4 linked regions of the Tamandua tetradactyla genome follow. The protein of the gene in region 3 binds, or shares a complex with, the protein of the main gene of each other region. Links are inferred from orthologs where the notes say so. Each region holds a gene or a part of one and is shown on either strand. Other genes may lie near its edges.

The links.
Region 1: the proteins of F2 (region 3) and SERPINE2 are in contact, whole or in part, in a crystal structure (PDB 4DY7), measured with the Homo sapiens proteins. The link is inferred for Tamandua tetradactyla from reciprocal best matches to the Homo sapiens genes F2 and SERPINE2. Residues at the interface, in NP_000497.1 of Homo sapiens: His406, Tyr410, Pro412, Trp413, Trp455, Arg456, Glu457, Asn458, Leu459, Glu509, Thr510, Ile542, Asp562, Ala563, Cys564, Glu565, Trp590, Gly591, Glu592, Gly593, Cys594; in NP_006207.1 of Homo sapiens: Val225, Arg288, Ser355, Ala356, Thr358, Thr359, Ala360, Leu362, Ile363, Ala364, Arg365, Ser366, Ser367.
Region 2: the proteins of F2 (region 3) and SERPINA5 are in contact, whole or in part, in a crystal structure (PDB 3B9F), measured with the Homo sapiens proteins. The link is inferred for Tamandua tetradactyla from reciprocal best matches to the Homo sapiens genes F2 and SERPINA5. Residues at the interface, in NP_000497.1 of Homo sapiens: Arg383, Pro386, Glu388, Leu389, Leu390, Cys391, His406, Cys407, Tyr410, Pro412, Trp413, Asp414, Lys415, Trp455, Glu457, Asn458, Leu459, Asn506, Arg541, Ile542, Asp562, Ala563, Cys564, Glu565, Gly566, Asp567, Val588, Ser589, Trp590, Gly591; in NP_000615.3 of Homo sapiens: Gln241, Lys295, Lys296, Arg297, Thr368, Ile369, Phe370, Thr371, Phe372, Arg373, Ser374, Ala375, Arg376, Leu377, Asn378.
Region 4: the proteins of F2 (region 3) and F2R are in contact, whole or in part, in a crystal structure (PDB 3LU9), measured with the Homo sapiens proteins. The link is inferred for Tamandua tetradactyla from reciprocal best matches to the Homo sapiens genes F2 and F2R. Residues at the interface, in NP_000497.1 of Homo sapiens: Phe382, Arg383, Pro386, Gln387, Glu388, Leu389, Leu390, Cys391, His406, Cys407, Tyr410, Trp413, Lys415, Leu423, Arg425, Arg431, Thr432, Arg433, Tyr434, Ile441, Met443, Glu457, Asn458, Leu459, Asn506, Thr510, Lys517, Gly518, Gln519, Arg541; in NP_001983.2 of Homo sapiens: Ala33, Thr34, Asn35, Thr37, Leu38, Asp39, Pro40, Arg41, Ser42, Phe43, Leu44, Leu45, Arg46, Asn47, Pro48, Asp50, Lys51, Tyr52, Glu53, Pro54, Phe55, Trp56.

The regions. Positions count from the first base shown.
Region 1 is NC_135329.1:199,776,822-199,783,717, forward strand, and holds the start of SERPINE2 (glia-derived nexin), read right to left. Parts: upstream 3,016-6,896; 5' UTR 2,820-3,015; intron 1-2,819. UniProt on the Homo sapiens protein: Serine protease inhibitor with activity toward thrombin, trypsin, and urokinase. Promotes neurite extension by inhibiting thrombin. Binds heparin.
Region 2 is NC_135338.1:55,677,786-55,684,778, reverse strand, and holds the start of SERPINA5 (plasma serine protease inhibitor), read right to left. Parts: upstream 3,011-6,993; 5' UTR 2,878-3,010; intron 1-2,877. UniProt on the Homo sapiens protein: Heparin-dependent serine protease inhibitor acting in body fluids and secretions. Inactivates serine proteases by binding irreversibly to their serine activation site. Involved in the regulation of intravascular and extravascular proteolytic activities.
Region 3 is NC_135334.1:123,427,176-123,434,740, reverse strand, and holds the start of F2 (prothrombin), read right to left. Parts: upstream 3,010-7,565; 5' UTR 2,885-3,009; intron 2,038-2,884; exon of another isoform or gene 2,029-2,037; 5' UTR 1,884-2,028; coding exon 1,823-1,883; intron 1,254-1,822; coding exon 1,090-1,253; intron 506-1,089; coding exon 481-505; intron 315-480; coding exon 264-314; intron 1-263. UniProt on the Homo sapiens protein: Thrombin, which cleaves bonds after Arg and Lys, converts fibrinogen to fibrin and activates factors V, VII, VIII, XIII, and, in complex with thrombomodulin, protein C. Functions in blood homeostasis, inflammation and wound healing.
Region 4 is NC_135347.1:55,543,336-55,550,691, forward strand, and holds the start of F2R (proteinase-activated receptor 1), read right to left. Parts: upstream 3,005-7,356; 5' UTR 2,976-3,004; coding exon 2,894-2,975; intron 1-2,893. UniProt on the Homo sapiens protein: High affinity receptor that binds the activated thrombin, leading to calcium release from intracellular stores.

The sequences.
Region 1 (6,896 bases), on a different chromosome or scaffold from region 3:
ACCGAGGGGAAAGGGGACAGTGAAAACTAGAATCAGTTTTGGACTTACTATACTTTGTGTTTTCTTTTGCCTAAAGGATACGGGTAAGTCCACTAGACTGTAGGTAACACAGGAGGATCTCTCAGCTGGAGATACCGATTTGGGACTCCCTTTGCACTGGAGAGAGCTGAAGCTGTGGCAATGAAGTTCACCCAAAGGCTCTATGTGGAGTGAGAAGAGGGGTGAGGACAGAGTTCTGGGTAACCCCAGGAGAGAGCAGAGATGCTAGTGAGGCAGGAAGAAAACCAGGAAAAGATGACAACTAGGGAAGATGCCACGGAGAGGTCTCGAGGAGAAGCCACAAGATCACTTGCTCAGGAAATTGCCAGGGTCTCCTCCAGCTTGCAGGGAGCAGAGAATGAAGGGCAGGGTAAGGAAGGGGGTAAGAAATTTAAGAAGCATGGGGAGATATGGTGATAACTAGAGATGAGGTAGGAGGATGCAGGGTCAAGGGAGTTTAAGGCATTTTTAAAATATTGCAAAAATGAAAACAGTTCAGCAGCAGGAAGTAGAGATAAAACAGAGAGGAGAGCAGGATTCCTGAAGAGAAGGAAGCATGGGGACTCGGGACACAGCTGGAGACATCTCAGGGAGGCTTTCTCTAACTTTCTCGAAGTTCCTCACCCCAACTTGATTTTACTTCTGTCATTGTTTAATTCTCCATTTTATAATATATTTATATTTGCTTTATTTCCTCCCACAAGAATAACAGTTCCAAGAAAGCAGGGACCTGCTATATTTACTGTATATCAGGGCCCAGCAAAGTGCCTGGCACACAGGAGACACTTAAGAACAGTTACTGAATGACTGAGTAGACACAGCAAAGTTTGTAGGTTGGGAATGGGGGACAGAGGTTGGGGCATGGAGAGGCTTCCATATGGTGGCTTTTATTTTTCTCGGTAGAGTGGGCCAGGAAGTCACCTGCGAAACACGGAGGGAAGGGATTGGAACTCTCGTGCATGGCAGAAGAGTTACAACGGGAGTATGAGTCTGCGACCTAGAGGCATAACAGGCTGTGATTCTGAGAGATGGAGACAGTGGACTTCCCAATTTCAGAAGCTGAGCATCTCTGGGCAAGGGTGAGACCTGGAGGTAGTTAGTGGACTAAATACTATGGAGTACTTGGAAGTCACCGGATTTGAGATGGTCAAGGAAATGAGAATTCAGAGTATCATCACCCAGATGGACTTTGGGACTGGAGGAAAGGAGAAAGCCCATGAGCCAAAGTACCCTGTCCAATGGGAGAATGATGGGCTGGCAGAGGATGTCAACACAGAGGCTGGCTAGAGCACCATCATTTCCAATTCTACTGCCTCAAAACAATCTCTAACTAGTAGCTAATCATCCACGTGTGGAACTGGAAATTAACCCCGTTTGGAGACTAAATTTTTATCCTTTGAAGTTACACTATGATGTGAAATTGACAGGAGGGAGACATTTTCTTCATGGATTCTTCTTCTTTTTTTTTTTTAAGAATAGAAAATGAATGACATCCTCATAACCTTCAGCTCTGTACCCTACAACATTTTCAAACACTATTTTAATAAAGAATCATAAAAGCTGGGGGGTTGAAAGAAACCTTAGATCATTTAGGCTAACACCTTCCTTTGCATAGCTGTAGGAAATTTTTGCTCAAATACTGCACATAGCACACAATTAGTGATTCAGATATGCAGATAACGTTTAAACTACCTTCAATTTTTTGAAGTGAGCTTTAGCTATACAAATTAGCAACACGTACATGTCTTCCAATTATCTGTGCTCAACTTTTCTTATAAAATCTCCGAAGTACAAAATTATCACATTAATTGTTCCAGAACAGTTTTCGGAGAAGTAAACTGCTTCCCGACTTGAAAGAGGAAGTCAAACCTTTAAACACCTTTTTATGTCGATGCTAAACATAAGAAGGCTCTCTTCAAAGTAGTCAAAACAAGCCACAGCAGCATTTAAGTGGCTTCAAGACCTACACGTAAAGATTATTTTTCTTTATTTAAGAAACCAAAACCTTCAATAGCATCTTCCATAATAACTGGAGGTGCAGTGTTGTCTTATGTAATAGAAGCCCTCCCTCCCTGCTCGGTTTGTAGGCAAATTAAACACCTAATTCTGCCCACAATCTCCGAATACTTTCACCTTACCTGTAATCACTGAGCAGCACTGCAATCCCCATTGCTACAGGTGAAAAAAGCAAAGACCTACTCAACAGGCTTAAATCGCTTGAAAGGGATCAGTTTAAGGGCTCTCCCCCAAGCCGCTGGTGACCCCCACCCCGTTCAGGGGGAGGTAACCTATAAGAGCCCATTTGTCTTTCCCCATCCAGCTGCGCACACGCCAAGTGCACCGGGTAGGGGACGCCCGCGAGTACCTGGGTCCCTCAGTTTCAGGGTCAGGGGCGCCAGCTAGGATGGAGACAGAGAAGAGCCGGGCTCGGGGTCTTTCCCCGCCGGCTCCAGGACTCCCAGCTGCGGGCACACCTGGACGCCAAAGCTGGCGCGGCCCCTCCTCGCCCTGCCGGGTTTCTACTCGGGGATCCCAGCGCGGCGGCACCCAGCCTTGGCAGAGGGAGGCTGAGAAAGTTCCCTCCGCTTCGACGTCAGTACCTTCCGGCCCCTCTCGCCCTGCAGCCTCGGGGCCCGACGCAAGGTCGCGGCGCGGAGCCGGCGGCGCACAGAGCCCAGGGGACAGACCCCAGAGCAAAGGGCACCGCCGACCGCGCCCCTCCGCCCCCCGGGCGCCCGGGATCGTCCGCGGGAGTGGCGGGGCGCGCAGCCCGTACTCACCGCCCAGGATCCCCAGGTGGCGGCCAGGAGAGTGGCGCGGCCGGAGCCGGAGTCGGAGTCGGAGTCGGAGGACGGAGAGCGGCGGCAGCGACGAGTGTCCGGGAATGAAAGAGGCGGTGGCGCCTCCAGACGCACGCAGCTCCGTGCAGCCCTGCGCCGCTTGAACTGGCCGGCTGCGGCTCGGGGGCTTTATCGCCGCCGCCGCGCCGGCCCCCGCCCCTTCCTGCCGCCCCCGCCCCCGGCCGCGACTCCGCCTCTGGCCCGCCCCGCCCCGCCTTCCCGCCGCCTCCTTTGTGTGCCAGCGGCCCGCAGCGCCCCCGCGCCGGGGCTCCGAGGACGTCCCCGCGCCGGCCGCGGCCTCCCGCAAGGCACCGCTGCGGGTCCCGGTCGTGGGGTTGTGCCCGGAAAGCGCCGGGGAGAAGAACCGACCCCGACGTGTGGCGCCTGCCGGGGTCGAGCTGCACGTGGGTCGCCTGGGTCGGCGGCGGGGTGGGTCGGGGGGAGATGAGGGTTTGTGGCGCGTCCCTGGGACCCACGGCATATTGTCTTGGCTACCCCTTGGGAGAACCAGGGAGACGCCCCGGAACAGTGCCCTCCGGCCCCGGCTGGCGTGGATAACGGTGCCAGGGCGCGGCCGGAGGGGTACAGGGCGGCCGTCTCGGTGCTTCGCAGGGTGCCCCAGAGCCGACTTCTCCACCTCGCGGAGGCTCTCGGGGGACTCCGTAAGCAGATAGCAGACAAGGGAATCCAGAAAGCTCGATTCCTAGAAGCGGGTGACAGCATGAGGTATCTGCAGAACCCTCGGAATCCAACCTTTACCTCCCGGTAATGCACCTGGTGGGACTCTGTGCGCCGCCGAGACATGCCGACCTCAGAGGCCGGCGACGAGTTACCGTCCAGCTCCGGCTCTCTTACCCCCAACTCGCTCAGTTCCTCTTTGCGCCAGGTTAGGTTTGTGGAAACCCAACTTTAATGACATGACTGAGGTTTCCCTGAGTTCATGAGTGCAGAAGGCCCCGAAACCATGAAAAGAGTCGTGGTAAATCTCCTTGGGACACAGCCTTGAATTAAGGTTGGATCTACTAATAGAGCAACTTGGACGATCGATTTGCATTTACTACGGTAGGCAGCCGTGCTAGACAGTGTGGTGGGTGTCTGCGTGGGGATGGGCGGGGAGTGGGGGGGTGGCGATTTGCTTCTAAAAGTCTCAACCGTGGGCCAGTCTAAGGGAGTTCACAGCCCCTAAAGAATAGAGAAATGAGCTATGGAGGTTTGAGCTTAAAATAAGAAGGATACACAAGTCACAAAGGAAAATTGGTTTCATCATTTTACATGATGCCTAATATGCATATTCAGTTACGGAGCAGCACATAACATCCATTTTCCTCGTGCCCTCGGCCTTTTCTTGTTCCCAGTATCTTCTCAGTAACACCTTTTCATCCTTGAGGTCACAACTCAAATGTCATCTCTTCAGGGAAGCCTTTTCTGACCACTTGAACTAAATTCATTTCCTCCCCTTTCCAACTTACCACTTTTTTCGTGGCCCTCATCATATTTGAAATTCCTTTATTATTTTTAGCTCATCTCTTGGTTGCTTTTCTTCTATGCTCTGTGGTTAGAATAGAGTCTCCCAGAGGGCAGGGAAGAGAAACCTGTTCAATGCTGTTCCCAACTCACCCCTTCCCTAGTGCCAAAAGCCATACTACACATCTATCAGCTGCTCAACAAATATTTTTGACCAATGGATGGACAAATGCCAAGTTATGATGAGCTATAAGTGCTGCTTCAGCTACAGTGCTGAGGCCTGGTGTAGTCAGGTAGGGCAGTTGAGTGGAGCTGGGAAATATTCAGAGGAGATGGGGTGGGGAGAGCTGGGGAAGAAAAGGTCAGAGGTGGGGGTGAGCACTGTGTATTTGGGAAGCTATAGGTAGCCTTTTCCCCATGCAGAGGTGGGTTGGTCATTCAGGGAATTAGTGGGGAAACAAACTGCGATTGGGAAATGTGGGTGAAACCAGATTGTGAAAACCTGCCTGATTCCCTGTATCCAGTTCTATCTGAGTCACTTTTTTTTGAGGGGGGGGGGGTGCATGGGCCTGGAATTGAACCCTGGTCTCCTGCATGGCATTCTACTACTGAACTACCCGCGCACTCCAACATTGACATATTTTTAGCTGAGATAATTTTAGGAAGAAATAATACAGAGTGTATTGTATACTTTGCCCAGTTTTCCTCAAAGGTAACATTTTGCAAAACAATTACACGTCACAATCAGGATATTAACCTTGATACATTGATTAATATCTCAATTACTTTTGGTAATTATTTGTAATTTTTAATTTTTAGTAAAGTTATTGTAAAGTCAAATTAGTTTTTGAAAGCAATGTACCTAATTTTGTTTTATAGGGTTTCAGTCTCTTGCCTTTCATTGACTCGGTGTTTTGGGGGGGAAAGCTTTATTTTTACAGTTAGAGCATAATTAAAACCTGGATTCTTCATCTATAAAATACATTCAGAAGTCTTCAGAACTTATCCCTTTTGTTTACATTTTAAGGACTGCCATTCACTTCCCTGTTCTCCCCAGTATTTTTGAAGGAACATTTTGAGCAATATTCTACATGACTTGTCAATTCTGAAATCAGACAGGATGCAGTGTTAACTAAGACACAGAACTAAACCCAACCACCAATGCTCCTTTCTCTCTGCTTGGACAGTGGATAGGACTGCCGATGAGTGTCTCCCAGAGGGAACTGACTGAAGACAAAGACCCATTCTGCCAGTGGGATATGCTGGGAATACCAACTATGCTTATTATGGGGAGGGCAAGGCTGGTGTTGGCTGGCTCTCCCTAGGCCAGCCAGAGGAGACAGAAGCAATAGCTGAAGCTACACTCTTGACCTGATGGCGTCAAGTGACCAGCAACTTTGACCCCAATCTTTGTGGGGCTGCCCCAAAGAATCTGTCCTCTAACCCCAATTGGGTGCTCATAGGCAGCAGGTTCTTCCTATAATGTTATATCCTTGTTGAAATGTATTTTTCATGGCTTTGAACTTCCAACTGGCATTTCCCTCCTATCTCTATCTCAGTCCTATTTGAGAAATCCAAATCATTTAACACTCCTACCTGGCTCTGTCTTTGCAACTTCACCTTCACAGCAGAATTTCATTTTGTCCTTCAACTGCTTGGCCTGTCTTAATCTTCAGAGAGAGCTTCAAATTGTTTATTCCTTAAAAAAAAAAAAAATGTAGCCTGGCATTTAGCCAGCTTCAGCCAGGCTCTGAGTTTGGCTTTGTGTTCATAAGCTGCAGTTGGGAGAAACACAAGAAATGCCTAAACAGAATAAAACAAATGATCTATTTAGTCTTGTTTCCTCTCTTGGAAGAGGGCCAGCGTTGAGTGCCTTAGAGGAAGAGAATCCCCCCACCCTGCCCCCACGGTTCTTCCATGCACCCAGACAATATGACCTTGTATTTAAGTAAAAACTGTCCTTAACTCCCAATGGGTGATGGTGTTTTGTCTGGAAGAATGACTGATGTTATGATAATAAGATGATAGCAGTTGCTCATCTCCTATCTAACCCCTATTTAAAACTTATTATTATATCATCACATTACTTGTTACACAACATTATAAATGTACAGGCTGTTACGTAAGATTGTTTCAACCAGGGGGAAAGAGACTGGTTAAACAGTTCACCTAAAAAATTAGTTTCTGGGACTATTGCTTTGGTGTAGTTTTTATTTTTATTATTATTATTATTTTATTTTAGCTTTAAAAAGGCATTTGCCTTTTTCTTTCCTATTAAAGTTGGCTTTCAAATAAATCCAATTTCCTCTTTCTCCAGTTTCTAAAACAGATTAAACCAGAGCATCAATTTGCACTTAACCATTGTCCTCACTGCTTTTCACCAAGCGCTTCAGAGAAAAGACATTACTGAGTGCTGGGCTGGGTATTCTTTTCTACATGTGTTTGGTCAGATAAGATAGAGAACCCCAGGTTCTGAGGATCATTGTGATACTGACTCCTTTGAACCACACTGTGGCTCCTCTCCTTTCATTTCCCAAAAAAACAATAGGTGCT
Region 2 (6,993 bases), on a different chromosome or scaffold from region 3:
TGTGTGGCAGGAGATGGGGTGGAGGGTGGGGTAGGGGGGAAGGGGTGGGCATGTTTTCCCGCTGATTCCCCATCATCCATGCACTCAGATCTGTAGGCTTTTATTACAAAGGTCTGACAACAAAGTCCCACTTTGGACTCAATGGTGGGACGTGTGTAGCTGAGGACGGCCTGTCCAATATCTGCCGATTACAATATGGGGTGTAGGACTTGCAGCCCAGGCAGAGAGGGAATGACAAAGTTTTACTTTCCACTGGATTCTAGAGACCCAGAAACAGAGCTTTGTGGAAAAAGTGACCTTGGGAAACTTTCTTACCCTCTTTCTCCATTTCCAGCCCATCAACAAGGCTTGTCAATTTCCATCTCTAAAATATGTCTTAAATCTGCTTGGCTCTTTCCATGTTCCCTGTCATCATCCTAAAGAAATTCTCTTCATCTTTTACCTGAACCACCACAGTAGCTTGCCCTCTTGCCCCAGCAAGCAATTCTGCAAACAGCATTTCAAGGGATCTCCTTTGAACATGAACCTGCTCAGAGCACAGGTTACTTACGAACACCATTGCTACCCCAAGGTTTTCACATAAAAGGAAATTTGCCTTGTGTTAAAATATGCTAGCCCCTATGTGACCTGGTTCTACCTGGCTCTTGCCAGCCTCACCTCCACCTGCTTCCCCCTACTCACTCTGCCTAGGCCCACTTTATCTTTTCTCAATTCCTTAAGCATTCTCTATCCTGCCCCTGGGCCTTTACACATCCCATTCTCTCTACAGGAAATCTCTGACCATGGCCAGATTCACAATAGAGGCTTCAGGTCTCTGCTTAAATACTTCTCTGTGATGCCCTGTCAAAGCTAGTTTGACTCCCTTCCCTCCACTGTTATTCTCCACCCCAGCCCTTCAGTGTTTCTCCCATAGTTCCATCACTTAGAACTATGCAGTTACATATGCACTGCTTGGCTTCCTTTTTTTATTGTGAAAAATAACATATAAACAAAAAAGGTATAAATTTCAAAGCACACCACAACAATTAGTTATAGAACAGATTTCAAAGTTTGGTATGGGTTACAATTCCACAATTTTAAGTTTTTCCTTCTGGCTGCTCCAAGACACTGGAGACTAAAAGAAACATCAATATAATGATTCAGCAGTCATACTCTTTTGTTAAATCCTATCTTCTCTGTTATAATTCCACCCTCTCCTTTGATCTTTCTCCCAACCTTTAGGAGTATTGGGGTTATGCCTATTCTAACTTTTTTTTGATAATATGGGATAGGGGGATGGAACTAGTTGATGTTCTGGAGAGGCTGGCCCCTCTGGGTTTCAGGACTTATCTGGCCTAGGAAACATCTGGAAGTTGTTTTCTGGAAAGTAATCATAGTGCATGGAAACTTTGTAGACTCTCAGATGTTCTACAAAGGTGCTCTTTAAGATTGGCAGGAATGGTATTGATTGGGATTTGACAAACCATGATAAATAGCAATATTTAGCTGAAGCTTGAGTAAGAATAGCCTCCAGAATAGCATCTCGACTCTTTTTGAACATTCTCACCCACTGATACCTTATTTTGTTATACTTCTCCTCGCCCTTTTGGTCAGGAAGGCATTGTTGATCCCGCAGTGCCAGGGCCAGGCTCATCCCTGGGGGTCTGCTTGGCTTCATTTTCTCTGGGCCCTTCCCTGACTAGAATATGTGGTCACTGCAGGGAGGGCCCTTGTCTGTGCTGCTCTGAGCCCTGAGCCTTCCTCAGTCTAGGAAACGTGCTCTGTATAGCCTTGTGGAATGAATGAACAAATGCGTGGGTGAGTGAGTGAATGAAACCCAGTCCCTGACTCTGTAACTCCTTGGTGTGAGACCACTCATTGGGCACTACGGAGGGCAGCAGAACCAGGCTAGGCTCCCGTAGGGCGTCTCCCTGGCCCAGGGGTTCAATTTCCAGGGATTTCGAGTAATCCCTCCCTGAAGCCAACTCTGAATTCCTGTACTGCACATGAGGATGCTGGTCCCCTAGTGGGGGTCAGGGGGAGAGAAGGGGTCTCCTTTTATTGTGTCATTGCTTGCCAAGGGCTCTAGAGTAAAAAAAAAAAAAAAGTGAAAACTCCAATGATTTATGTCTAAGTTTTGTTTATTTAGCAAACGTCCTGACAGCATCCTGAGCCCCTGAGGAGCCACTGCAACCCTGCTGAGGGGCAGCCTCCAGGACAGAGCTGCGTGGTCTTATCTCAGGGCAGCAGATTAAGTTTCACAATTATCCCTGACTTCTAAGGGTTGAGAACCCCAGGCACAAAAACCAATGGAAGTTGTCATTATTGAGCACCTCCAGTCTGCCAGATATTTTGTCCCCACGACCTTATCTCAAGGTTTCTCAACCTCAGCACTGTTGACATTTTGAGCCAGATCATTCTCTGTAGTGGGCGCTGTCCTGTGCGCTGGAGGGTCCTTTGAGCAGCCTCTCCCAGCCCCCACCTGCTGGATGCCGGCAGTAAGCCCCCCAACCCCCAGTTGTGACAACCAAAAATTGTTTCCAGACATGCCAAATGTTCCCTGAGGGTAACACCAGTCCAGGTGAGGACGACTTGCCTTATTTAGTCTTCAGGTCACACCATGCACAGGGGATAATTATTTCCATCTTACTGCTGAGAAAACTGAGCCTCACCCAGTTTTAGTATCGTGTCCAAGATCACACAGCTAGTGGGTGTCCACCTCTGCTGCCTGGAAGTTGGGCTCGATCCCCACCATAACAGAGGGCTCTTCCCACTCTGGCTTTCTTCACCCTTGGATACTTCCAAATCCCATAATTCTAGGGTCCTTTCCTTACCCTTCCATGCATGTTTTTCAAGCCCATAAAACCTCTTTTCTGCACTCCACGTGTCTGTACTTACGGTGTCCCGTGGCAAGGCGTGGCAGGCAATCGAGGCAGCGGTCCGGCAGGCTGGGTCAAGAGCAGAGGGCTGGCAGGCTAGAGCTAGTATTTGTGGCTGATGGCGGCAGGCTCTGCTCCACCCCTCCCCTGGCCCCGCCTTGGCCTGCCCTGGTGAGCCCTTTCAGGCCTCCAGCCAAGAGGAAAGAGCTGGACAAGGCCGCCCAGGCCAGTGGCTCACAGCTCTGCAATCCCCACACTGGACACTGTTTGCCTGCAATGGCAAGGGCCCTCCCGGGACACATGGCTTAAAAAGCTACCAATTGCTGGCATTCCAGAGTCAAAGAAAGGGACACCATCCGGCAAACTCTCACTTTCACTAGGTTCCATTCTTTCGCTCCCTGTAGCTGATTTGTTGTAGATCCAGTGGAGTGGGGGCTTGAGCCCAAGCTGGCTGCAGGTTTCCTGTGCTTCCTGGACTCCCAGACCATAACAGTCAGATTTTGGTCTAAATTAAATGGATTGAGAGAGCCTCAGAATGGCTGAATTGAAGTGATCATTGCATCATTTCCTTGTTCCACAATGGAATTGAGACTCAGAAGATGAAGGGACTTTTGAAAGTCATATACCAAGGGTGGGGCTGGGTGATGATTAATGCCAGGGTCGGTGACTCTGACACTGCTCTTTACTTAGAAAAGGACTGAATCTGGGATTTCTTTGGGTTCGGTTGGACTGTCATTTTTCATCTTGCACTTGAGGATTCCTAAATCGGCCTTATACTTCGGGGAGTATTTCCAAGACATTAGTGCAGGATATTGGCGCAAATCTTTCTTATATTTCCAGAGGTCCCATGCCTAGAACTTCCTACCGCCTTTGTGCACTGTCTGGGGCCATGATCCAGGAAACCTGTGTGGGTGCTGCTGGGATGTGAAAATGGCAAGGGGAAAAAGCAGTATTACCCAGAGGAAGCAATCTTGATGTCCAGCAAACCAGGTCACTCCACAATCACTGTTCCTTTCCTTCTACGTAATTTTTGGGTCTGTTCCTTTTCTTCTACATAATTTTTGGGTCTGGTTTAGGGAATCTTTGAATTTTCCCAGGAATGATAAGAATCATATTTATTGAGACCCTAAGATGGAATACACATTAAGCTAAATGCTTTATATACATTATCTCTTTTAGTCCATGCAACAAGCCTACAAGGAGGCACTGAGCTCAGCTTCAATTTAGAGACAAACACAGTCATTCTTAAACAGTGGGTCCTTATTTTGCACTCAGTGTCCTCTCAAAGTACTGGGAGGTAGATACAATTATCATCCTCATTGAATTAATTGAAACAGAGAGAGGTTAGGGAATATGCCTAAAGTCACACATTAGTGTCACACATCAATGTCTAGGTTTTTCACTTTCCAACAAAGGACTCTTTTAACAAACAGTCCTTTATCTTATTAAATAGAGGTTCCTAATCAATGTTTGCATTAGTCAGAGTCCTACAGGAAACAGAACTGACAAGAAGTTATTATAGATATATATTATGTAAATATTATAAGATTTATTATAGGAGTCGCCTCAAGTGACTGTTGGGATTGACAAGTCCAAATTCCATAGGGCAGGCAATTGGAAACTCCAACGAAGGTTTTAAAAAATTCTCCAGAAGAATCTGGTAGTTGAAGTTGACATAGAAATTCTTCATTCTGACTGCAGAAATCATCAGTTCTCTCTTGAGACTTCAGCTGCTTGGTTGAGATTTCTCACGTTCCTGAAGGCAATCACCTTTGTTGATTGTACAAGTAATGAGCCATAAATGCAATCAACTGACCCATGATTTAAGTCCATGAAATGTCATCACAGTAATAATCTGGCTGCTGCTCACTTGACCAAACAACTAGACACCATAACTAGCCATGTTGACACATACGCTTAACCATCACAATGTCCTATAGGATGGAAATTGTTGTTTCACACTTGTCATAAGCTGTATAATGGCCTCCCAAAGAGATCCACTTCCTAAAGCCCAAAATCTGTGAATGTTACCTTATATGACAAAAGAGATGATAACGATGTGAATAAATTAAGGGTCTAGAACTATGAAGATAATCCTGGTTTATCAAGGTGGGTCCTAAATGTAATTACAAGGATCCTTGTAAGAGAGGGATGGAAGATCAGAGTCAGGAGAAAGTGATGTAATGACAGAAGGTAAGGGAGAAAAGGTGATATAATGAGGTTATTAGCCAAAGAATGCTGGCAGCCTCTAGAAGCTAGCAAAATGAGGGCCAGGTTGTCCCTTATAGCCTCCAGAAAGAACATAGCCCTGCCAATGCCTTCATTTCAGTCAGTGGAATGCTTCTCAACTTTTGACCTCCAGAATTACGGGAAAATAAATTAAGCCACTAAACCCACAGTAGCTTATGTAGCAGCTATTAGAAACTGATACAGATTTTAAGATCAGAAGCCAGCTGTTGCTGTAGGAAATACCTACAAATGTGGAAGTGGCTTTGGAATTGGGTAATGGATAGAGGCTTAAAGAATATTGAGGCTAGAAATATGGACGTTAAAATTTCTGTGAGTGGAGACTCAGAAGGAAGTGAGAAGCAAGGTAGAAGAAATCTATGTCATTTTAGAAAGTAACTAAATAATCCTTAATAGACTGTTGGTAGAAATATTTTACAGGTGCTGTTCTTTAGGGATCAGAAGGAGTGAGGGTCATGGAAGAGATCATGATATCTTTTAAGGTCATGATATCATCTTAAAAGAATAACAAAATTGTCATTACAGATTGTTGATAGAAAAATGAACATTAGAAGGTCTGATGAGGAGGGCTCAGAAGGAAATAAGGAATACATTATTAAAACTGGAAGATGGGGGATCCTGTCATATAGTGGCAGAAAGCTTAGCTGAATTGTATTCTATAGTTATGGGGGAAGCGGAATGTGTGAGGCATGAACTTGGATATTTAACTGAGCAGATCTGCAAGCAAAGCACTGAAGGTGCATCCTAGTTTCCTCTTGCTGCTTCTAGTAAAATGTGAGAGGAAAGAGACAAATTGAGGGAAGAATTGTTAAGCAAAAAGGAATCAGATCTGGATGACTTGGGAAATTATCAGCCTATGCAGATTGCAAAAAATACGAAAATTAGGAGATTCACTGTCAGGAAAGCGTGCTCTGCAGAGAAAGCCGAGTGTGTGGATGGACAACATTTTGCATAGCGCCTATGCAGGATCAAAAGATCAGAGTAAGCAATTCCCACAGAGGGCTCTGTAACTAGGCTATGACTCATAGATCATCTCAAACAACTCAACAGAAACCAAAAATAGCGGTGGCATTATCCAGGAAAGATCTGTGGAGGATCCCTTGTCTAATCTCATGGATCTCCACAGCATGCATGAGAAGCCCACAAGGTTTTTGGGAATGTTACAGTTGAGAAAGAAGCCCTGAACTTTCTAGGCCTTTCTTGAGTGAAGGTTACCTATTTTTGATGCCCTAATTTGGACATTTTTATAGCCTTGCTTTAATTTGGACATTTTCATGGCTTTAGAACTGTAAACCTGCAACTTAATAAATTTCTCCCTTTAAAAACCATTTTATTTCTGGTATATCACATTCCAGCAGATAGCAAACTAGAACAATCCCTTAAGTTCTGGAACCTGTGAATGTACTTTATATGACAAAAGAGACTTTGCAAATGTGATTAAGTTAAGAATCTTGAGATGCAAAGATTATACTGGGTTATCTGAGTGGGTCCTAAGTGTAATTATAAGGGTTCTTCCTGAAGGGAGTCAAGAAAGTCAAAGGAAGAAGAGGCTATGTTGCAGTAGAAGCAGCAGGGGAAAAGATAAGTATGATATGGGACCACAAGCCAAGGAATGCAGGTGGCCTCTAGAAGCTGGAGAAGGCAAGGAAACAAATTCTCCCCTTGGTTCCCTAGGACAAACACAGACCTGTTGACACCTTGGTTTCAGATTCAGTAAACCTGTTTTAGACTGCTGGCTTCCAGAACTGAAAGAGAATAAATTTGCATTGTTTTACTCCCCTAAATTGGTGAAATGTACTATAGCAGCTATAGGAAATACACACTCCCAAGTCAGTTTGAGATGAAATAACTTTTGGAAAGATGAGATTAACCCATTACTTTGAGTCTT
Region 3 (7,565 bases):
ACAGGTGCAGAGGAAGGGAGGCTGAAGGAGGGGGCGGCCTCCAACGGGCCAGCTTGCCAGGCTGGGAGCCTACACTGGTTCTCTGCAGTGGGCAGCCGCTGACCCTCGGCCACAGGGACAGAAGGTCAGTGTCGGTGGTAGAGGCCGCCCACCTGGGCGCACCCAGCCCGCCTATCTGTGCCTCGCCCCAGCACAGGCCTAGCTCCCTGGGGTTCGCGCCCCCCTCACGTGCTGTCCGCCCCGCCCCGACAACTGTTCCTCACCTTCCAGACACTCAACGAGCTTCTCCCGAGGCTTTCTCACCGTGTTACAAGCTGGAAAAGAGCCAGACACGTCTCTGGGGTTGGGGTAGGGGCAGGATGGGGTGGAGTAAAGTTGGGTGAGGTGACGCTGAGAAACAGGCGGACAGATGGATGGATGAATGACGGACAGATGAATCAGAAGAGTCTCTCCCCTCTGGGGCTCGCTCGCAGCACCCACCTGTGTACTTGGCCCAGAATGCATCCTGAAAAGTAAGGGCTAGGGTGAGGCTCCACCAGGGCCCTTGTGTTCGCTTGCAGTAAACTTATGTCTCCTCATGTTCCTGTCCCTTTACCAGACACCAGGGCTCAGGCTGTGGGGAGGTTTGTGGCCAAGTTTCCTACTTCTGTCTCCTCATGGAGGGGAGGGCAAGAGAGGGAACCCCTGACCTCCAGCCACTCCTGCCAAGGGATCCCCCACTGGAGTCGGCAGGTGAGGGAGGGCGGGGACCCTGGGCCGGGTCCTGCCGGGGTCGGGAAGGAAGGCTGCAGAGGCCAGGGGCCCAGAGCCCCACACCGCAAAGGTGGCACAGGAGCAGCCACACGGGCAGGGCCAGGGCGCAGGCCGTGCGGGCGGTGGCTGGGGACAGGAAGGCCCCGCCGTTGTTATGGCCCCATCAGCCCGGGGACCTCGGTGCAGCCCGGCTGAGGCTGCGCGTGGCCAGGGCAGAGGCGGCCCCGGCGCGGAGTGCGCATGTGCACGGTTCCACCCACGCCGGCCCTGAGCGCCTAGGCGGGTGCGGGGCTGGGCGCGCTCCGGGGTCCCTGGCCGCCCCTCCTCCACCCTCACCGTGGCGCTGGCGGACTCCAGGGCCTCGAAGGCCTCCTCGCGGCTGCACTGCTCCTCCATGCACTCCCGCTCCAGGCTGCCCCTGCGCAGCTCCTCCAGGAAGCCACTGTTGGCCCGGCGGGCGCGTGGGAGCAGCGAGAGCGCGTGCTGGCGCTCCAGGAACACTGTGGAGGAGGCGGCGGGCATGGCCTCGGGGGACGGGAGGGCATGGCCCCGGGTGGAGGGGAGGGAATGGTCCCCAGGGGGATGGGCAGGCATGTTTCTGGGGGGGCGGGTGTGCATGGCCCGGTGGGGGATGGGCATGGTCCCAGGGAGGTGGCGGGCACAGCCTCGGGGAGCATGGTGCCCGGCGGCAGGTGGCAGGGTGGAAGCCCGCCTGCCCTGTGGGCCTCCCCAGTGGGCAGCAGAGCCAGGAAGGCTGCCAGGCTCAGCTCATGGGCCCCTCCCCACCCCAACAGTCACCCACATTCCCCACATGGCCCGCGGGAAGCGGCTGGGGCGCAGCGTGGAGGCCCCCAGCCCCCGGCCCACCAACCCCCAGCCCCCAGCCCTGAGTCCCTGCCCCCCGACCCCCTGCCCCCCGACCCCCAGCCCCCGACCCCCCCGACCCCCCAGCTCCTGAGCTGGGTACCCTGGGCCGAGAACCAGCTGGGGGGCACCTGTGTCCCCCGTCCCACGTGGGGACCCCGGCCCAGGGCGCAGCCCCCGCCTGCCCGGACCCCAGCCCCCTCACCGCGCTGGCCGGGCACGAGGCTGAGCAGGGTGGCCAGGGCCAGGCCGCGGGCAAGCGCCATGGTGGGTCTACTCGGGACTCTGCGGCGCGTGCTGATGCCTCTGGGTTAATGGTGAACTAATGTGAAGAAATCGGCCCAGAGGGAGAGGTCAGCGGTCAGGGCCGTGGGGACGAGCAGAGGGACGTCCGCTGTGCAGCCCGAGGGCCTGGAACCAGGGATGGACGTGCAGGAAGGAGTCAGAGGAAAGGGTGGTGCGACCAGCGCCCTCAGCCTCCCGCCCGTGGCTGCAGGAACGGGGCCAGGGTCAGACGATGGTGCTGAGGCTCCCAGGGCCAGCAGCCAGTGGTGCTCCTTAGTCTCTGTGTGCCGCAGTTTCCCCATCTGCCCAACAGGCATGGTCAGCACTTTGGTGCGAGGACCAAAGGAGACCACATGGCATGAGTGCCTGACAGCTGGGAGGGGTTTGCAGACCGGCGGGGGGCGCAGAGGTGAGGAAGTGGGAGCAGGGTGACGGTGTGACGGGGCATCCACCTGCCGCTCCCCGGGACACAGGGACAGTCAGCACCAGCGTGGCCTCTCAGCACAGACGGCCCGGGCCTGCCCCTCCCGCTCCGGGTGCCTCAGAAGTGCGGCTGTGTGTCATGGGCTGGGAGGCGTCAGCGGCCTAGTGTCGCTCACTTCCCGGGACCTGCTGCCCACCCGGCACAGGGCCACCCACCCCTGAGGGTCCGCGGTGGGGCCCCTGCCAGGCCTCGATGGGCCACATGCCCAGCTGCTCCCCAGCCCGCCCCCACTTCCTGTTTGCAGTGTGCAAGGTAAATATTAGTCCTGCGTCTAACTAGGACAGAGGGACAAAGAGCAGGACAGAAGGAAGGCAGGTTCTTGCTGTGCCTGCCTTTGGGCCTGGCCTCTGCGTCTGGCCTGCAGACACACCATCTGGGGGTCTCGGAGGGGTGTGGGGACAGGGGCTCCCACACGCAGCTCAGTTCCCACGGGGCCCAAGTCCCTGTGCGTGCTCTCTGTGTACACACACACCTGTTTTTAGTCGGGGTGAAACTCACCTACAATAAAGTCCACAGGTTGTAAGTGTGCGGCTCCGATTTTCAGTTATGCGTGTAAGTGCCACCCAGATCGAGAGAGAGCAGCCCCAGCGCCCTGGCAGGTGTTGCTGTGTCGCGCGACACAGCCAGTGATCGCCCCTGCAGAGATTCACTCCTGCACTGCGCCACCACGGGCCGTTTCGCCCATGCAGGCGCCGCCTCCATCTCTGTGCGCGTCCAGTTGTAGATGTCCTTCAGTCCTTTCCTCTGCCAGGGCGGACCTCATGATGGGTCCTCGCCGTTCCTCTGCCGATGGGCGCCTGGCTCTGTTTGCAGCCCTGAGAACGCCATGGCGTTGAGTTCTCCCGCACGGCCTCCAGTGCAGACAGAAGGCCCTCCGCTCACAAGCGCGTTCCTGGCTACGAAGGGGGTGTTTGCTGAAGGAGCGCTGACAAGGGGTCTTCCTCAGCGGCTGCGTGAGTTTGTGCCCCACCCCCGAGGCCGAGAGCCCCAGTGGCATGGAGCCCGCGCCCCAGCTCACACAGGATGACCACGTGCCGTGGTTTGGGTGCATGGACCGGGGACTGAACCCGTGTCCCCACGTGACTGTGGTTTTAATTTGAATCCCCTGTTCACTAATGATGATGGGCCGACTCTGTGTGCGCGTGTGTGTGATGGCGAAGTGATCTAACTTCACTCTTTTACTCTACAACCACACACTGAGGGAGGGAAGTGGGCAGGGCTCCTGGGAAGGGGAGTGAGGACCAGACTCGTCTCCTGCCTGTGGGCGGGTGGTCCTTGGCTCACCTCCTTTCTTCGAGGACCAGCCTGGGCTCATGCTAAGTCACCTGGCTAAAGAGAAGAGGCAAGAGGAGGAGGTGTTCAGGGAGGGAGACGAGACACAACACACCTGCGCCTGCCGCTGCACTGAGGGCCTGCGCAGGGGGCGGGGGACTGGGGAAGGGCCCTCTGTCCACCCCCAGACCTTCCCAATCCGACAGAAACCGCGGTCAGAGCTCATCCCAGGACCCCGGGAGCGCGGCACCTGCAGAGCAAGGCAGGGAGACCAACGTGCGGGTCCCGGCTGGGCCTCGGAGCCTGGGTCTCCCCATCTGTGAGAGCAGAAATAGAACATTACATGCCTCATGAGGCTGCTGAGAAGCTGAACTCAGATCCCCGTGGCCTCTGCAGGGTCCGTTATTTGGAGCCGCGGCCGCGGCATGGGCAGACCCAGACCCAGACCCAGGCCACCCACAGGGCACTCTGAGGTAGTTAGTCGTAGCCCTCTATTTGAGAAAATGTTTTTATTGTGATAACATATATACAGCATAAAATGTCCCACCTTGACACTTTCAAGTGGGCAGCACAGCGGGGGTGATCACTTCCACATGTTGTGCCGCCGCCACCGCGATCATTACCAGATGACCAAGACGTCCCATCGCCCCGAACAGAAGCACGCCCTCGGCCTGTCGGCAGGCGGTACTCCCAAGTGGCGCACGCCAGCTCCGGAGCAGCGGGACGTGGGACTTGGCTGTGAGTCCTGCTTCTCGGTTTGTGTGCCAGGACCGGCTGTCCTGGGAATAGGTCTTCCCGGCCTAGCATTGGATGAGAACTTCCCTCTGAAGAATAGGCATCTTGGCATCTCGTCTGGGGCAAATGCTGGACCCAACCTGAACGGTTCCCAGTTTGCGTCTGCGCAGTTGAGCCTGGAGGGCAAGCGTGCGCTCTCTGGCAAGGAGAGAGGCAGCCTGAACGCTGTGGAAGCTTTGGGAGCTCTGCATCCAGGAACTGCAAGATCAGCAAGACTCTGGGCCTTCTCGTAGATTTGATTTTGAGGAATTGACTCTTATCCCCAACCATGCCTTCTGCCACTGGGGACAGCGCCCCCAACTCTCCAATCCTACAATATTGTGATCTTCTTTGCTGCAATTCTTTGGATTTAACTTTTTTCCTTATCGTCCTCTAAGTCGAGCTGGATTGTAAAGTTTATGGGAATGAAATAAAAACTAAATACCCCCCAGCATATATAATGTTTGTAAAGTACATAGCACCCACCACATAGTAGCACTATGATATATGATACAACAGGAAATGCACAGCACTGCCTGTGGAGGATTCTTCCTAAAAGAATGAACCTGGATCGAATCAAAGCTCTAGCTTTAATTACTAGTTTACAGGAAACACAGAAGATAAAGGAATAAGCCAACCACCATGTCAAAAAATGAGGTCTGGGAAATGATCATGATGATGAATATGCAACTATGTGATGATATTGTGAACTGCTGAGTGTATGTGTTGGGAATGTTTGTTTCTTGTAATTTTTTTTAATTAATAAAAAATAAAAAAATAATAGGGGGAACAAATGTTAAAATAAATTTAGTTTGAAATGCTAGTGATAAATGAAAGCGAGGGGTAAGGGGTGTGGTATGTATAATCTTTTTTTTTTCTGTTATCGTTTTATTTCTTTTTCTGTTGTCTTTATATTTCTTTTTCTAAATCGATGCATATACAACTATGTGATGATATTAAGAATTACTGATTATATATGTAGAATGGAATGATATGTTAATGTTTTTGTTGTTAATTTTTTTAATAAATAAAAAATTAAAAACAAAAACAAAATGAGGGATGTTCTATTGAAGAAATGACCCATTTCTCTGACAAATTCATGGCATGGAAATAAAAGGAGTGGGGTAGAGGAGTGTTTTGGTTTGCTAATGCTACCAGAATGCAATATACCAGAAATGGATTGGCTTTCATAAAGGGGATTTATTAAGTTACAAGCTATCATTCTAAGGCAATAAACATATCCAAATTAAGGCATCAACAGGAGGATACCTTCACTCAAGAAAGGCCAATCGCGTCAGGGGTTTCTCAGTCACATGGGACGGCACATGGCAACACCTGCTGGCCCTTTGCTCCTGATTTCATTGCTTTCAGCTCAGGGTTCTAGAGGTCTCCTCTCTGGACTTCCATCTCTAAGCATCTTCAAATGTCCTGTCTGGTTTCACCTCTCTGTTCTCTGTGTTGGCTCTTTTAAGGACTCCAGTGAACTACTTGAGATCTATGTTGAATGCAGGGGCAGGGTCACACCTCCATGGAAATAATCTAATCAAAAGGCCCCACCCATAACAGGTCTTCTCCGACAAGACTGATTAAAGAACACGGCTTTTCTGGGGTACATAACATCTCAAACCAGCACAGGAAGACTTCAAAATAATAGAAACTAAAGAAAGATAGAACATGATAAAGGGAATATATGAAAAACCCACAGCTAACATCATCCTCAATGAGGAAAAACTGAAAACGTTCCCCCTAAGATCAGGAACAAGACAAGGATGTCCAATATCACTACTGTTATTCAACATTGTGTTAGAAGTTCTAGCCAGAGCAATTAGATAAGAAAAAGAAATGCAAGGCATCAAAATTGGAAAGGAAGAAGTAAAACTCTCACTGTTTGCAGATGATATGATACTGTATGTCAAAAACCCTGAAAAATCCTCAGCAAAACTACTAGAGCTAATAAATGAGTACAGCAAAGTGGTAGGTTATAAGATCAATACTCAAAAATCTGTAGTATTTCTATACACTAGTAATGAACAATCTGAGGGGGAAATCAAGAAAAGAATTCCATTTACAATTGCAACCAAAAGAATAAAATATTTAGGAATAAATTTAACTAAAGAGACAAAAGACTTATACAAAGAAAACTACAAGAAATTGTTGAAAGAAATCACAGAAGACCTAAATAGATGGAAGGGCATACCGTGTTCATGGATTGGAAGACTAAATATAGTTAAGATGTCAATTTTACCTAAATTGATTTACAGATTCAATGCAATACCAATTAAAATCCCAAAAACTTACTTTTCAGAAATATAAAAACTAATAACCAAATTTATCTGGAAGGGCAGGGTCCCCCAAATAGTTAAAAAATATCCTGAGGAAAAAAAATGTAGTCAGAGGTCTCACAGTACCTGACTTCAAGGTGTATTATGAAGCTACAGTGATCAAAACAGCATGGTACTGGCATAAAGATAGATATATTGACCAATGGAATCAAATAGAGTGTTCAGAAATAGACCCTCTCATCTATGGACAATTGATCTTTGATAAGGCAGTCAAGCCAACTCGCCTGGGACAGAACAGTCTCTTCAATAAATGGTGCCTAGAGAACTGGATATCCATATGCAAAAGAATGAAAGAGGACCCATCTCACACACCCTATACAAAAGTTAACTCAAAATGGATCAAAGATCTAAACATTAGGTCTAAGACCATAAAACTGTTAGAAGAAAATGTAAGGAAATATCTTATACATCTTATACTTGGATGGGGTTTTATAGACTTTACACCCAAAACAAGAGCATTGAAGAAAGAAATATATAAATGGGAACTCCTCAAAATTAAACACTTTTGTGCATCAAAGAACTTCATCAAGAAAGTAAAAAGACAGTCTGCACAATGGGAGACAATATTTGGAAATGACATATCAGAAAAAGGTCTAGTATCCAGAATTTATAAAGAGATTGTTCAACTCAACAACAAAAAGACAGCCAACCCAATTACAAAATGGGAAAAAGACTTGAACAGACGCTTCTCAGAAGAGGAAATACAAATGGCAAAAAGGCACATGAAGAGATGCTTAACTTCCCTGACTATTAGAGAAATGCAAATCAAAACCACAATGAGATATCATCTC
Region 4 (7,356 bases), on a different chromosome or scaffold from region 3:
ATTCGGTATTCATGTATCTAAGTGAACTACCTGTATCACTGCTTTTTTTGTGGTTTAATTTATTCTAAAAATGCAAAAGGGGTCACTAACAAGCTCCTCCAGCTGTGCTTTCTGCAACTTACTGCTTTACCACCTTTGAACATCAGGATGCTTGCTCATCTCTAGTCTTGGGGAAGACTGCCATTCTCCCAGAGTTCTCACAAATAATCAATTGCCCTGTCACATCCACATCTGAACATTCAGTATCCTGGGATGGGATGTCTTCAGTCTTGAATTCATTTTAAGAAATGAAATTTCTCCGACCACATCTTAATCATTCCTTAGTGAGTCATCAAGAAATATTTTAAGTCTCCCAGGCACTGTTCTAGAGGGTATGAATACAACAGTGAGACGAAAGTCAGCACAATCTCTTGCCTTCGTGGAGCTTTCACTCTAGCACCAGTCTGCCTCTCTACCACTGTGAAATCCCACCCTGTGACATCTGAGTTGCCCACATGGGCTAATGGACGGCCCCCTGCTGCCGGCCTCCTTCACCACCAGCTGCCCTCCCATCCACGCAGAGGCTGCCTTGACCCTTTCAAATTTCTCTTTATATTGGTCACTCTGGTTTCTCCCCAAACCCCTGCTTTTCAGAGTTCCACCCCCTCTGACGCAGGCGCCTGCCAGGGCAGGGCCCAGTCCTCGGGGTGGGCCGCAAGCCAGTCCCCGGGCCCCCCAGTCTTTATGAAATGTACAGACACCTCTTGTCCCTCCTGGAGACACCGGCCCTCTTTGATGAAGGCAGGTCACCACGTCCAAATTAGCCTCGACAAAGGACTGTAGACTGGTTAATGAACTAGCGAATTTCTCAATAAACATGTGCTGAGTGAACATACGTGTTGCAGACTCTGTAAAAAATAAACGGGTACAACTTGGCTGGGGAGATGCGGTACCCCCAAAGCGACAAGGCCAGGGCTGCCCAACCGAGGGGGAGCAGAGTATGAGTGCTGCGGGGATGCTCACGTGGAAGGGGGGCTGGCCCCAGGGGGCTTCCTGAGGGGGGTGTCTCAGCCCAGTTGGTGCAGGGTACAGCTGCCCATCCAGGGCAAGGCTCAGCAAGGTGGGGGAGGGGACGTGGACTGGTGGGAGCCGCCCTGGGAGAAGTACTTGTATCTCCACGTGGTATATTAGTGACTTAGAACTCTTTAAAGACAAAGCATTGCTTAGTGCTTGCACCCAGGGTACAGGGCACTGAGAGTCCGGTAGTACTTGGTGTGCTGTACCCCCCCATCACGCCCCCGGCCTTGGTTTCACTGTTGGCAAAAGGGGATAACATCCATCTTAACGGGATCTCCAGAGGGAGAAGTGAGATAACCTAAGTGAAAATGTCTCACGGCCCAGGAAATACAACGCTTAATGTACGTGTGCTCCTTTTCTTGTCTCAGCCTCCTATCTTCTTTCCCCCACCAAAGTGGTCACATAATCCAGGAGAGATAAATTAGACAGTGTTTGTTCAGCTGTATGTCTGTCCTTGTGTCTAGCTACACTAGTGTTATGAGACCTGTGGCAGGAACCGGGAGTCCTTAACCTCACTTCCTGAGGACAAAAAGGATCCTGGGCAGCCACTGGGAGAAAAGGGGCCTCAAGCAGATGCAGCATTTGGGTAAAGTAGTTCTCCACCCCCACATGCAAAAGTCAAGCAAACATTTGTATTCTCAAAAGCATGTCCCGAAATAAAGTCGGGCAAGTTACCAAGTAGTATCTGAAATTCTGTGTCACCACAAATAGTTTCTCAGTTCTCTGCATTCCCCCAAACATTGGCAGAGGAAGGGTCCTGGATATGCACACGTAGCCTGGCTGCTGGTACACTCTGGCCCCAGACTTATTTTTCCGGAAAGCATCTCCCAGAAGCCAACATGGAGAGCAGAGAAAACGCTATGCCTTTTCCCTCTTCATCCAGATGGGACTAAACTTTTTTTTGTACAAAAAATAACATTTTTTTTGTAAGAGACACTATTAAGCACACGCTTTCGTGGACAACAAGAAAACCAGATTTGGAATTTGATCCAAGCTGAAAAAATGGCAAAAAGCTTATAAAGTACTACGGTTATCAAAGGAGTCAAAAATGTTTCCTCACTTTCCAAGCAGTGCGTTGACGCCATGAACACGTCTCTGCCCTTCCCAGGGAGTCTGGGGGGAAATACATTCATCTATTTGCTAGGCAGCCGGACACTTAGAAGCACCAGCGGTGGGACGTCCGGTCCTGTGCGGTAAAACAGACCGGGCAACTCGGAGCAGGTCAGACACTGGGTCCAGGACTCCTGGGAGACCGGTTCTGGGGAGCAGCGGCCCCTTTGCCTCAACTCGGAAGAAATGGCTTTTCGGTGACAAGCAGGACCTTCCCCAGCCCGCAGCCCGGCCATCAGGGGCCGCAGGTCCTCCTTCCCTACTCAGCGGGGCTCTCCACGCACCCCTTTCCTCGCCGTCAAATGGGCAAGCCGCAAACTTCCCACCAACAGGACTCCCGCGGGCCGGCACGCCACTTCGTGGGGGGCGCGGGGGAGAGACGCAACAGGAGACGCTTTGTCTGGGGGGGCGCGGGGGTCCGCGGGCGAACGGGGAAACCCGCCACACCATGACCGACGCCGCGGGGCCCGCCGGCTCCCGCAGCCCCAGCCGGGCCGCCCCCGCCTCCGCCACCTGAGGCCGGCCGGACGCCGCTGGAGGCGCGGAGGGGTGGGCACGCCCCCGCAGATGCGGTCGCCGGCTGCGGGTCTCAGCCTACGCTCTCGATCGGCTTCTGGGGGGAACCGCGGCGGGGGCGCAATCCTCCGCCCCCTCCTCCCGCCCCCGCCCCCGCGCGGGCTCGGGGCAGCCGGGCCCCGGTGGCACCCGGAGGACCCCGACGGCTCACCTGCGTGGCGGGTGCGGGCGGCCAGCAGGGCCCCGCACAGACTCAGGCCGGTGGCCACGAGCAGCAGCCGCCGCGGCCCCATTGTCCCGAGGCTCCGCGCGCTCTGCGCTGCCCGCGCGGCTCCGGGAGGCTGGACCCGCCCCCGGGGCTCCGGCTCGCCCCCACCCCTTCCTTCCGCGGCTGCGGGGCGGGTCGCGCATCGCTGTCGGCCGCAGGAGGCGGAGGTTCGGGGCGCCTCCCCCCGGGGCGGGGTCCGCAGGCGGCGCAGGGGCGCGGGGAGAGGGGCGCGCGGCCGGGGGCGGGTCCCCATCGCCCAGTGGGCGCCCGGACGCGGCCCTCGGCCTCCCCCCGCCGGCTCCTCCCCCAGGCCCTCCCCCGCGAGCGCCGTCCTCCAGCCGGGTGGGCCCGGGACCCCAGCAGCCCGCCGCGCCAGCGGGGATTTCAAACTACCTATTTTTTCCTTTGGAAGCTCCGGGTGACTCAGCCTGGCGGGGTCTTGGGAACGGGACCATGTGATCTCGGTGGCCGCTCCTCGGCCTTTTATCCCCCTCCTGGGTTGCAAAGATAACTGTGAACATTTGGTCAAGGATGCGCCCATCCCCGGCAGACACCCCTGCGACCCACCCCCGGGTCAGACCCCCCTGCATCCCGCACTGTGCTTCACGCAGAGGGCCGGACCTCAAGCCCAGAACAGTGACCCAGTTTTGGTATTCAGCAGAAGTTTGAAAGTCAGTTTTGTTTTTGAAACTTAAAGATAATGAATTAAAAAGTTTACACTGTAGCGAAAGGGTTGCCTTTTAAGGAGAAGGGGCTTTTAAGGTTTGGCGGAGTGGTTGATATTCTTTATTCGTTTCTCTTTATTTCGCAAAATTTGACTTTGCGTGCGTCTGCCCCTAAGGCCAGCCCTCGGGCCGGGCGCTAGACTCACTCGCGGGTCTTGGGACGGGAGAGGGACCTCTCTGGGTGGGGCGGGACCGGGGTGTATAGTCTCTGCGCCCGGGGCAGTGACAGAAGTCTCCTGGGCAGCGGTGCCCAGAGGGCGAAGTGGTCTGGGCACTCTAAAGGCGTTCCTCGTTCTTCCTAGGGCAGAATCACAAGAGTTTGTAGAGTTTGGTCGCATTCAAGGCCCGGGTCTGGCGCGGCCGTCTGCGGACGCTGGGCGAGGCGGGCGGCAGGAGACGCGGCCGGGGCTTGGCTGCGAGCCCCTCTGCCGGGCGGCTCTTCCAGGCCACGAGGGAAGGGGGTCCCAGCTCAGGCTTCCAAGGCTTTCCTTTTAGGGAAGCACCTGTTACGTTACTAAACTGAATTAGTCAACGAAATAACGTTACTTAAACCTCTCCCAGCTCAATTTTCTTAGGTAAACATATCCAAAAGTAGATGTGAACCATTAAAATGATCCATCATCCACTCCCTATTAACGTATAACATTTTCATCTTTCTTAAAATGCTATTGATTTTAATATTCATTTTAAATTTATGTACCACAGGAAGGAAAAATGCTGCCAATTAAACTGACATATTGATTGTAAGAACAAACATTCCAATTTTAGGGTTGTGTTACTATCAAGAAAGGGTATCTTAGACTCAATGAAATGCAGTATATAATATAAAAACAAGGAATACATATGGCGGTTCCTCAGAAAGCTAAGTATAAAACTACCGAATGACCTGGCAATCCCACTTCAGAAGATTTGAAAGCAGGAACTTGAACAGGCATTTGAATGCTGACGTGCCTAGTGGCATTATTCACCATTGTCAAAAGATGGAAGCCACCCATAAACAAAATGGGAGATATATATATATATATACACCATGGAATATTATATATATTTTGCATCACTCTGTTGGGAGGTTTTTGATTACTGATTCAATTTCTTTACTTCTTTATTTCTTATTGAATCAATGTTGGTTGTTTGTGTGTTTCTAGGAAATTGTCCATTTCATCTGGTTATCCAATTTGTTGGTGTACAGTTATTCATAATATTCTCTTATAGTCCTTTTTATTCCTGTGAAATTGGCAGTAATGCCCCCTTTCATTTCTGATTTGAGTTATTTGTGTCCTTTTTTACTTTGTCAGTCTAGGTAAGGATTTGTTAATTTAATTAATCTTTTCAAAGAACCAATTTATGGTTTCATTAATTCTTTGTATTGCTTTTTAAAAAAATAATCTTTATTTCATTTTTTTCCTGCTCTATTCTTGCTATTTCCTTCCCTCTGCTCACTTTTTGTTAAGTTTGTTATTCTTTTTCTAGATCTTCTAGTTTGGAGGTAAGGGCTCCACTTTGAGACCTTTCTTCTAATTTAATGTAAGCATTTAGCGCTATAAAATACCCTCTCAGCGCTGCCTTTGCTGCTTTCCACAATTTTTGGTATGCTGTATCTTCATTTTCATCTCCTTCAAGACAATTTCTATTTCTTCCTCTGTTATTGATTTCTAGTCTCATTCCATTGGAGAAGATACACTCTATGATTTCAGTATTTCTGAATTTATCAAGACTTGTGACCTAATATACAGTTTATCCTGAAGAACAATCCACGTGCACTAGGAAAAAATGTGTGTTCTGCTGCTGCTAGGTGACACGTCCTATGCATATCTGTCAGCTCTAGCTGGTTTAGAATCTCAATTCTTCTGTTTCCTCATTGCTCTTCTGTATAGATATGCTATCCATTATCGAAAGGAGTGTACTGAAATTTCCTATTAATAATGAACTGTCCATTTCTCCCCCATATCTGCCAAAATTTGCTTTATACATTTTTGGGCTCCTCTGTTAGGTGTTCCTATATTTATAATTGTTTTGTCTTCTTGTTGAACTGACCCTTTTATCAGTATGTAGTGACCCCTTTTCTCCCTTTAATAGTTTTTGTCTTAACATCTATTTTAAGAGAGAAAAGCGCTCCACTTGCAGAGAGCCCATGCACCACCAAATGGGTTTTCTATCTAGAAAGGGGCAATGGCTGAGTGATTAGCTCAGCCTCACCTTCCTGTTGATGTTATTCTTAGAAAAGTGGGGAGGGCTGCTGTTAGAGGGAGTCATACTCATACTGGGCTCTACTTATTCACCCCCCCCCCCCCAGGGAAAAACTGTTCCACTTTCATCCGTTCTTTTTTTTACCAGATTTATTTAAAAACTAGTAAGCTGAAGGGGACTCAAAGATGTTTTAAAGTTCAATCATTGCAAGCATTTTCTTTGGAAAATCAGACTCTACAGCAGCTTGCTTAGTTTCCCATAATAAAAAAAAAAGGAAAAAAAATGTCTATTTTATCTGACAGTAGGGTTGTTTTCCCAGCTCTCTGTCTCTTACTACTTGCATGGTGCATTTTTTTTCTGTCCTTTTACTTTCAACCTACTTATGTTTTTGAATTTACGGTGAATCTCTTGTAAACAGTATATTGTGTCATGCTTTTTCAACCATTCTGCTAATCTCTGTCTTTTGACTGGGGAGTTTAATCCATTTATATTTAAGGTAATTTGATAATACAGGACTTTCCTTTGGCATTTTGCTATTTTGTATTTGCATGTCTTACGCCTTTTTTTTTTTAAACTCAATTCTTCTGTTAATGCCTACTACCGTATTTATTTGACTTTTTGTATTGTATTATTTTGAGTCCCTTCTGATTTCTTTCTGAATATAATTTTCATGTATTTTCTTTGTGGTACATGTGTTAAAATTTAACATCCTAAGTCTGTAACAATCATATTTTATTTGATACTGACTTATCTTCAATAGCATACAGATACACTGTTTCAATACCCATCCACTCTCCCTACTTTTTCTTGCATTTGTTACAGATTTTGTCTTCGTACATTGATTTCCAATAATTGATTTATCATTCTTTTAGTGCATTTACATTTTGCACCTGTAGGAAGCAAGAAGTGGAGTTATATAACAAACAATATGATACAATACTACTGGAATTTATAATTACCCATATGGTTACCTATACCTTTGTTTCTTTTTTGTTTTTGAATTTCTTTTTAATTAAAAAAATTACAAGAAAAAGACACAAGCATTCTTAAGATATGCTCATACCGTTCTACATATATAATCAGTAATTCACAATATCATCACTTCATTGCATATTCATCATCATCTCTTCCTCATTTTTTAAAGAAAGTCTTGCCAGATACAAAATTCTTGTTTGACAATTGTTTTCTTTCAGTACTTTAAATATTTTGTACCACACACCTTCTTGCCTTGTATCCGTTTGTTCTTCCTCCATGTTTTTCTTTTCTTTTTGAGTATATTGCGCTTCATTATTTTGAAGTTTCTGGCCAGTAAGTCCAAGTCTGGTCCTCACTGTTGTGGTTTCTGGATTTTTATCTTGTTCCTTTGGATGCGCCATCATTTTTTGTTTCTTTGCTTGTTTTGCAATCTTTTGTTGCACGCTGTACATTTTAATATTTTGAAGTGTTAACTCTGTAATAGACCCCTGGGTTATTCCTTAAATTCCTTAAATCCAG